Linked DNA regions of Caenorhabditis elegans. The protein of the gene in region 1 interacts with the protein of each later gene in a pairwise test. Each region holds a gene or a part of one and is shown on either strand. Other genes may lie near its edges. The genes, in order: emb-27 and cdc-26.

Region 1 (5,080 bases):
TCGGAAAGATCCCAGAGAATGGAAAGCCGGGGATGGTGCAAGTTTTCGGCGAATTGAAAAAATGGAGCCGAACATCACTTTTGCTTTGCTTCGAGCAGAAAGTCTAGTAACAATATCCATCAATTGTGTAGACGATACCGAATCGTTATCATCATCTTTTCTCATTGTCAACCGGATCCAGGAGCTTTGCGAGAAAGCTTCAGAAGTACAACCGACACCTCGGCCCTCAGCATCGCCAGGCCAACTCAATACTCTTGTCTGAAAATTTACAAGTTTTTAAAAGTTATTTGCATACCATATCACCCATTCTGTGCACGTTTCCATATTGAGAACCTTCGACTTTGATGGGTGAAAAATCGTATTTTTCGGAATTCCTTCCCAGAGATGCGGTGGATTTTTCATTTGTATATAAATACTGTTCGTAGTTTCATGAGACATGTCGACAACAATTCGAACAAACAAATTATAATATAGATTAAGACGAAATCCGGCATGATCCAAACCATCATCAGCGAATTCGGCTAATCGAACTCCGAAATATACCACTGCCAGTCTTTTGTCATGCTCAAATCTCGCATACGAGAGGTATTTATTGCTTCCTGCCACTTTGAATGAACTGTTTTCACGGGATGCATCTGCATTATGGTGTGACTGAAGCTTTCTTAAAAACAAAAATCTGATTAGAAATTCTGTAGAATATGTGCAACTTACACACTACAAACTGTGTTTTCTTGACTGATGAAATCTCCTCTAACAAGGAAAAGTCCTGAATTAGGGCAGTTTCCAATCGCAATCGCAGAAATATTTATATCCATGTGTTGGGGTCTAAATTATAACTTGAGTATATAAAAAGCGGATGAGTATTCTATTACGTTATTTTTGTGAAAAGCGTATGCATTTTCGGGACTTCCAAAAATACTTGATCATGGAGCATTCCAGTTATTCTAGATGTGAAACTTGATGCGAACTCGGAGAACAATTCATTTTCATCTTCTACTTCACCGTTTGGCGTCAAAACTAAATGAGCATCGATGACGTATGATTTATCTTCGTACGCAGCTCGTGGCACCATCCCCACCTTGATCCAGTTTACCTCGTCAACTTTAGACTGAAATTAAATTGTTTCAAATACGGCCAATTAAAAAATCGCTTACCAATTTCAAGTGTGTTTTCAAAACATCTTTTATATTTTCCATGTGTGCTCGGCAATATCCAAAGCAATCATTATTCATGCTGCCAATGAGCTTAGCATCGAAATTCAGCTCAATCGCCTGTTTTTTACTAAACTGTCTCGTCTTCGCAACTGTTTCCGATTCTTCTGCAGCGGCCCATAACATCCGCACGAGTTTTTCTTGTTCTTCGATATTTACACCACCTCTGTGCTTCGTTTTCTCATAAAGAATGTGAGTTGATGGGAGAGAGTGCCGTTTTAGAACAGAACAGTCGACTGGTTTTGAAGTAGAAGGCCTTTGTGACTGTAGCAGGTAATCACGAAGATATCCACGATTCACTGGATACGAAAAATTGTTTAAATGATTTCCTGGAAAAGCCGACGATGAAGAGTGAACAGGCTGTTCTTGTACGTCAACTTCCGATTTAGATTTTGAATTTCGATCCATCCGAAACGTTGTCAATAGCATCTTGTTTGAATGCCCAATTGTTAAGGTGTTCACTGGAGTGCATTCTGTTTTTCGATTTGGTAAAGTTCCAGACGAAAAATTCGATCTACCACGTGGAAATGTTGATTGACTCTGAGGAACTCCTCTGGAAAAAAACATTGTTTCATTTGACTACCGTTTGCTCACCGAATTTCAATTACCTTGGATGCTTCGGCCTAACAGAAGTTGTAGCATCATCGCTAGAGTCATCATTATCAAACGGGAGCATTTTGTGAAAGACTTTTTGAAAATGGCATTTATTTTACGAAAAAAATGAGAAACAATTTTATTCAAAAATTTGATGATGTATGTTCGCTCCATTGACAATTAGCAACGAGACTCCGCAGTTACGGCTAAAATTTAAATTTGATCAAGCATTAAATCCTTTTTATTTTGTTTTTAAGCGCCTAGGCGCGCCTTTATGTTATTTAGTTAAAGTAGCTGTAACTACTCCGTGTAAGCTGTAAAATTATAATCTAAAAATAAGACTATAATCTCAACACTTTTTCACAACAGTTCCATTGCAATTAACGTCATTATTGAATTTCTATTTTACAATTCTTGTTGCTTAACTTAAGTTCTCTACTTACTAAACAAATATACGAAGCCTTTACAGCATGAGCGCGATCTCGCCTGATACAAAAAGTTTTGCGATTCCGACATTGGCTGATGAAGGTTCCTCAAGCAAGCCAGCATCATCTTTGTGAGTTTAATAAATAACATTTCTTTTTCAAACTACAATTTTTCAGAGATTTGCCGAAACACGAGTCTATTCGTTTCAAGCCGATTAAAACACTTGCAAGTAGAATTGATGGATCGGAGTATTATGACGAGGCGAGCATGGAGAAAGTGATGTCAGTTTGAGACCAGCATATATATTAATATGTTATATTTTTAGGGAAATGCTTGAAATCGGCAGAACCGATGAAGCTGTAGCTTACGCGGATACATTATACTCTAATATAATTGATGATGAACAGCAAGATATTGTCACCATCGCTGAATACGTAAAAATTCTCGTCGTTCTCCGTCAATGGCGGCGTATTAGCCATATTATTGCTCGTGGGAACTATCATCAGATTCACATTGTTTTTGCTTATTATGCCGCTACCGCACTTTTCCAACGGAAATTATACGAAGATGTAGCTGAATTATCGGTCGGTCATCTTCTTCCAAGTAATGGCCAAATTGGACCTCTTCCTGTTCGAACACTTTCACAAGTGACGGGGAGATATGTCGAGGAAGAAAGAATGAAGTACTCATTTGCAAATATGGCCGAATTGGATAATAGCTCTAAAAAGCTCAGAATGGTTCCAGCTCTTATGATAACCATAGCAGAAAGTTTTTTGAAATTGATGAATCGTGATGCTGCAATGATTTGTATTAATTACGCGCTGAGTCTTGTAAGTCATCTTTTATACATGATTTGACCGTGTTTTATTATTTCAGGATAATACAACTCTCCATGTCGAACGATTAATGGCAAAATACAATCTGGTTGAGCCTGCGATGTGGGAGAAGTACAGAAAAGTCAGAAATGAACAGCTGAAGTTACACGAAGGAAATCATGATCCACGAATTCTTATGGAACGTGCTCAACGTGCCTACGAGATGGGTCGATTTCGAGAAACAAAAAAAATCACTGACGAGCTATTTGATCTATTTGGACCACATCCTGAGTGCATTATTCTTCGTATTCACTGCCTAACAATGTTAAAGGATTCTCGATCTCTGCTTGAATTAGGTCATCAACTAGTTAGTGATGATCCTCATATTCCACTTCCATGGTATTGTGTTGCTATGTATTATTATAGTATTGGAGCAAACTCAAGAGCTCGAAATTTCATCAGTATGTTTCCCATTTCATTGAGGTTTAAATAGAGCTTCTTTAGGTAAATGCACGATGATGGATTCGACGTTTGCTGAAGGATGGGTGGCTTTTGGTCATATTCTTCACTATGAAGTTGAACACGAACAGTCCATGAGTTGCTATTACAGAGCGTCGAAACTTGTGGATAAAAGTTCTGAACCGTTCTTGTACACTTCTCTTCAGTACAGTACGCATAGTCAGAAGCTGAGCAAGAAGTTCATGGGAGAAGCAGTTGCTCGGGCACCGAATGACCCTCTGATTCGTCACGAAGAAGCTTGTGTAGCCTATACTGCAAAAAGTTACGCGGAAGCCGATATTTTATTCAGAACTGTTTTGTATATGGTTACAGAGACCGATGAAATCATTCCAATTGAAGAAGTCTTGAAAAAGTAAGTATCTAATTCGATGATTATTTGAGAGAAAAATAACATTTTTTCAGGAAAATCGACGACTTTTGGCACCCAATGCTCAATAACATTGGCCACATAGCCAGACGGCAAGGAAGGCTGAATGAAGCAATCATGTTTTATCAAAAAGCTATCCGAATGGAGCCAAAGTTTGTAGATGCCATTGCATCAACTGCTCTCTGTTACGCAGTTCTCGGCAACATTGATAAAGCAACTGAATTCTTCAATAAAGCTCTTGCGATCGATCCATTTAATGAAACAATCCGTCAATGTCTGTCAAAAATGATTCAAGCGTCAAAAGAAAGTTATTCTGTTGATCAACAAACGGTAAATATACTATATCTTATGTTATCTAGGTTTTTTGTTTTCAGCTCCCGCCCGCATACAACTCTGAAACATACTTCGGTGCACAAGAAATTCTTCCGTACTGTGCAATAAGAAAACCACGAAATGATGGATTCGTTGTTCCGTCCATCGTATCGTCAAGCCAACCATTTATGTCGATGCTGAGAGATCGTTTGCGAAGACAGGATCAACTATATGCACAAGAGCCAGATAACGATGCAGGAAATCAAGTGTAAAATGTCGCAACTTTATTTATTCATCCAATTTTTAAGTCTTTCAATTATAAATTTTTAATCCTTCATTTCGAGAATGACAAAAAACAACGCATAAAATTTAATTATTTCTACTCAGACGCTCTTTTACAGCCTCGAGAAAGAGATTCATGCAATTCGGCAGTGTGATAGTTTCTTCCGGACTTTTTGAATAAACCAGTGTAGGAAGCATGGATATTGCTCGTCCAGAGAGTCCACGCGCTTCTTGGGCGATTTTAAAAAGAATCTCGGTAAACTCATTTCTTGGTGCTTTCGTCTGTAAACAGTTGACAATTATTTCGAAACATTTGTGTTAAACTCACATCACAAATATCTTGTGGCCAATAATCAGTGTGAACTTCATTATCAATAACAACACCAATCCGGGCCAATTCCATAATTGATGATTTCAGCATAGAATATCGTGCAAAGTCCGAAGGCTGCCCGACATTTTTTACAATGTCGGCTCGATCAACGAGAGCTTTATCCAGAGTTGATTCCAGGTTCGACGTACACAGAATAAGTACGTTATCACGTCTCCTGATTCTA
Region 2 (3,631 bases), on another chromosome or scaffold:
TCATCAAGTGACTCATTTTCTACTCTGGTCTTTGTAAGGTATTTATAATAATCCAAAGTATCAAAATGTGCCGGTGTCGGTGGAATTCCCCAAGCTTTGCGTGTTGCCATCAACGTTGGATGCCAATCTCTACGCCATGTCTTTTCTGCGCGGGTCCACGGTCGCTCGTACGGTGAGACGAAATCAATTTTCTCTTTAATTGTTGGCATTGAATGGACCATTTCTGCAGTCTTGTAGTAGTCGAAAACGCGAACTCCTGCTCCAGATGCATCGCCAGCGTTCACAAATTCCTCTTGGAGCATATGCTTTGGCTCGTGGTGCTGATGTGGCTTTCGATAGTATGGCGGACGATATACAGTTGAAGCGTTCGCTGATTTGGCTGGAACATTTTCTGATTTTGGGGTGGTAACTTCGATTTCTTGTGATGATTGTGGTAGATCTGCTCCTGCAGTTGTTGCCTTTCCACGGCAGACTGTTCTGATCATCAGACTTCGTTTTAACCCGTGCATCTTGCAATTTCTGAAACAGGGCTGGTGAAGAATTAATGAAATATTGGAATTTCAAAAAACAAAGAAAGATAGAAAAATCACAGACTATGACAGTAAATGTAGCATTTCAGAAATATTTGTTTCAAATATTGTACAAATTTATTTAGTTCGAAAAAAGAAGAAAGCACGCTGAGGAAGTTGGAATTGAAAGGGAGATCAGTAGCAGGGCGTGTAAAACTGCGAATTTCAGTATAACAATCCAAGTTTTTAAAAAATTAAAAATTGATAAATATAGAAATGTATAAAACGGTTCACTTTTAATGAAAAGCTTGAGAAGACCTCTAAAAGTTTTTCTACGTTTCTAAATCAATTTTAGATCAAAAAGTGAATTATTATATTGAAATAAGCGGGTTTTGCACGTTTGCCTAAACACAACCCTGACCAGTAGTTGTTAGTGTCTGTGAGATCGTGTATTTGAAGAAGGTCCTCCAGAAGTTGAAGTAGGATTGCCGGGAGTAGCTGAAAATAAAATATTGACAATATTCCTCCAACAACTCATTGACCACCATAGAGATGAGCATTAGGAGATTCGGGAGAGTCAGAGGGTGTTGGAGATTCGTCATTGATTCCTTGCTGTGGTGTATCATAAGCGTTGAAGAGGAGTGGCGAATCATTGTCACCAGAACGAGAAGCTCGTGGACGTCGACCTACACGAGGTGGCATAACTCTCAACATTTCAGCTGATGAGACAGGGTTGACTGGCGTCGAAAGTGTTAGAGTTGGAGCAGCGACAGGAGTTCGAGCAGATGTTAAAGTCTGGAAATACGGAGAATAGCCATAAGATAAATATGAAAAAGTGAATAGAAATAAGTGTTCGAAACACCAACAACACAAAATTATGTCACCTGCACTTCAGTGAATGACATTTCACATCGATTCTAAAAGGTAATGTTTAAAACATTTAATTTAAAAAAAAAAATTACCGGTGCAATGGAAGTACGCGTGCACTCTCCCGTACTTGGTCCTGGAACGTCTCTGTTCTCTGAAAAAGCTAGGTTAGGAAAAATTAAATAAATCATCATCTCACTTCTATCCGCCGATCTGAGATTTCTCCTAGTTATGCCACGTGGAGGCTCACTCTGATCCATCGGCTCCATTTCGTCAATATCCATCATTTCGCATTTTGGCACGATCACAGCTGGAAGTACCCTCTTGTTCAGTTGATCTGTCAGCCATTGGATATCGTCCTCACACAATTCTAATTGTGTTAATGGACGCCGTAACATTGACATACTGAAAAAGAGTGAGATAAATTATTTAATTTCATAAAAACTGTGAATTGGCGAAAATGTGTATTTTTGGAGATTTAATTTTTAAACGGCAAAATCGAACCTATGGCTTAAATATTTCTGTAATTAGCGAAAAAGTAAGGCAAATTCAACAGAAATGACAAAATATACAGATGGAAGTGTTTTTCCTCACAAAAAATAATTTCAAACAATTTCTCGGCAACGGCAATAAATATATATTGAAAGGTTTCATAAACCTAGATTCTAACAATAATCAAACCATGATAAAAGAGAAAATATATTATTTTAACCAATTAGAACCGAACCTCCAGCCCCTGCACTAACGAAAGAAGGGTCAGAGACAACAAAAAGAAACAACAGGGATATAAGGAAAGTTTAGAAAAGACAGAATTCGAGTAGTCCTCGTAAAAAACCGAGGAGCTGAACAAATAAGAAAGAAAAATAATACTGAAAACTGAGAGATGACAGTCTTAATCTCCGTGTTTGCCACATCTCAATTTTCAGAACAGCATCAGATGAAGAAAAAGGAAAAAACATTCAAAACCGGAAGAACTTGTAAAGCCTAAGTCGCCTTGACTTTGTCTTGACGACCTTTTTCCAATTGAAGGGCGATTTGTTGAGCGCGGAGGGTCAATCTCTTCGTGTTTTCCATGACTTGCTCGTGGATGCTGACGGATTTGACACCCATCACCACTTGTCCCAACTTGCTGTCAATTTTAGCTCCTTCGATACGATACGTTCTGATCAAGTCAACAATCCAGCGTTCAGCTTCCTCTTGGCTCATATTCAATCGTCGTGCTAGCATTTCTATGGTAATGCACTGATGAATGCGGCAGAACATCTCGAAAATGAGAAGGCGTGCAGACTCGCGGAAATCTCCAAGGACAGCAGTCAGGAAGAAATCATTGGAGAGAACCTCTTCGCACTTTTGAAGCATCTCTTGAGCCTCGTCGAAATCATATTTGATGTAGAGACAGGTGAGGAAATCAGTGACGGGATCCTTGTAACTATGGCGTTCCTGTAGAAAAACAAATAATTAATCATATTTTCATATAGAAAATAGTTAAACTCACGATGTCAATGACCTTCACCAAATCTTTCAAGCTGTTCTTCTGGCGGCTTTTGCTGGTAACAACGGCAACAGCCAGATAGCGGAGCAAATGTGGCGCCAAAACTTGGATTGCATTCAAATAAGGTTGCTGGTTCAAGAACATTTCGATAATCTCATCACGCCCTTTTGGATAATTGTAGTAGACGAAAAGTGCCCAGTGCATAAGCCACGCACGTTGCGTAACAAGTTCCCATTCCGTGTCGAATGGATTAGCATCGATGTAAGCACGAAGTTTCAGCAAATCGTCACGAGCATGTTCCCATTCTTGGAGCAGAATTTCACTGGCCAACTTTCCGTAAAGAGCGTTCAAATAGTTTGGATCCGCTTGATTGACAAGGTTGCGGTAGTAGTAAAGGCACACGGATGCGACGGTGTAATTTCCGCATTCGTACATGAACTTGCTGTACTTGAAGAGGGTATCGACCATGTCTACTGTGAACTGCAAGAATTAAGATTATTTTCGAAACTGCAAAGCAAAAACGTACATTGTGGTTTTGAGTGAGATGCTCCAAAATACGGACATTTCCATCTCTTTCTCTGTTGTTATCCATCATTTCCTTGACTTCCGGTATTTCCAAAATGGCAACAACGGAGTCCACCTTGCTTTTCAGCTCATCTCTCTCCTTGATAATTTGCTTCTTCTTAGCCTCAATTGCAGCCGGAATAGGTTTTCCATTGTAGGTCTCTATAACACTATCAATCATATTGGTCTTGGTCAAAAG

The links.
Region 2: the proteins of emb-27 (region 1) and cdc-26 interact in a two-hybrid assay, tested with the Caenorhabditis elegans proteins (2 studies listed by BioGRID).

The regions. Positions count from the first base shown.
Region 1 is NC_003280.10:8,159,365-8,164,444, reverse strand, and holds emb-27 (Cell division cycle protein 16 homolog), read left to right. Parts: upstream 1-2,274; 5' UTR 2,275-2,275; coding exon 2,276-2,361; intron 2,362-2,407; coding exon 2,408-2,512; intron 2,513-2,556; coding exon 2,557-3,061; intron 3,062-3,107; coding exon 3,108-3,507; intron 3,508-3,550; coding exon 3,551-3,917; intron 3,918-3,967; coding exon 3,968-4,262; intron 4,263-4,306; coding exon 4,307-4,516; 3' UTR 4,517-4,580; downstream 4,581-5,080. Other genes in the region: rrf-3 (RNA-directed RNA polymerase), read right to left, coding at 1-258, 304-661, 712-825, 873-1,108, 1,155-1,764, 1,820-1,887; pch-2 (Putative pachytene checkpoint protein 2), read right to left, coding at 4,614-4,808, 4,855-5,080.
Region 2 is NC_003279.8:10,638,448-10,642,078, forward strand, and holds cdc-26 (Anaphase-promoting complex subunit CDC26), read right to left. Parts: upstream 1,787-3,631; 5' UTR 1,781-1,786; coding exon 1,576-1,780; intron 1,531-1,575; coding exon 1,472-1,530; intron 1,427-1,471; coding exon of another isoform or gene 1,394-1,426; intron 1,305-1,393; coding exon 1,052-1,304; coding exon of another isoform or gene 1,044-1,051; exon of another isoform or gene 1,008-1,043; coding exon 940-1,007; 3' UTR 629-939; downstream 1-628. Other genes in the region: mrps-30 (Mitochondrial Ribosomal Protein, Small), read right to left, coding at 1-509; eif-3.E (Eukaryotic translation initiation factor 3 subunit E), read right to left, coding at 2,361-2,816, 2,872-3,348, 3,395-3,631. UniProt on the Caenorhabditis elegans protein: Probable component of the anaphase promoting complex/cyclosome (APC/C), a cell cycle-regulated E3 ubiquitin ligase that controls progression through mitosis and the G1 phase of the cell cycle.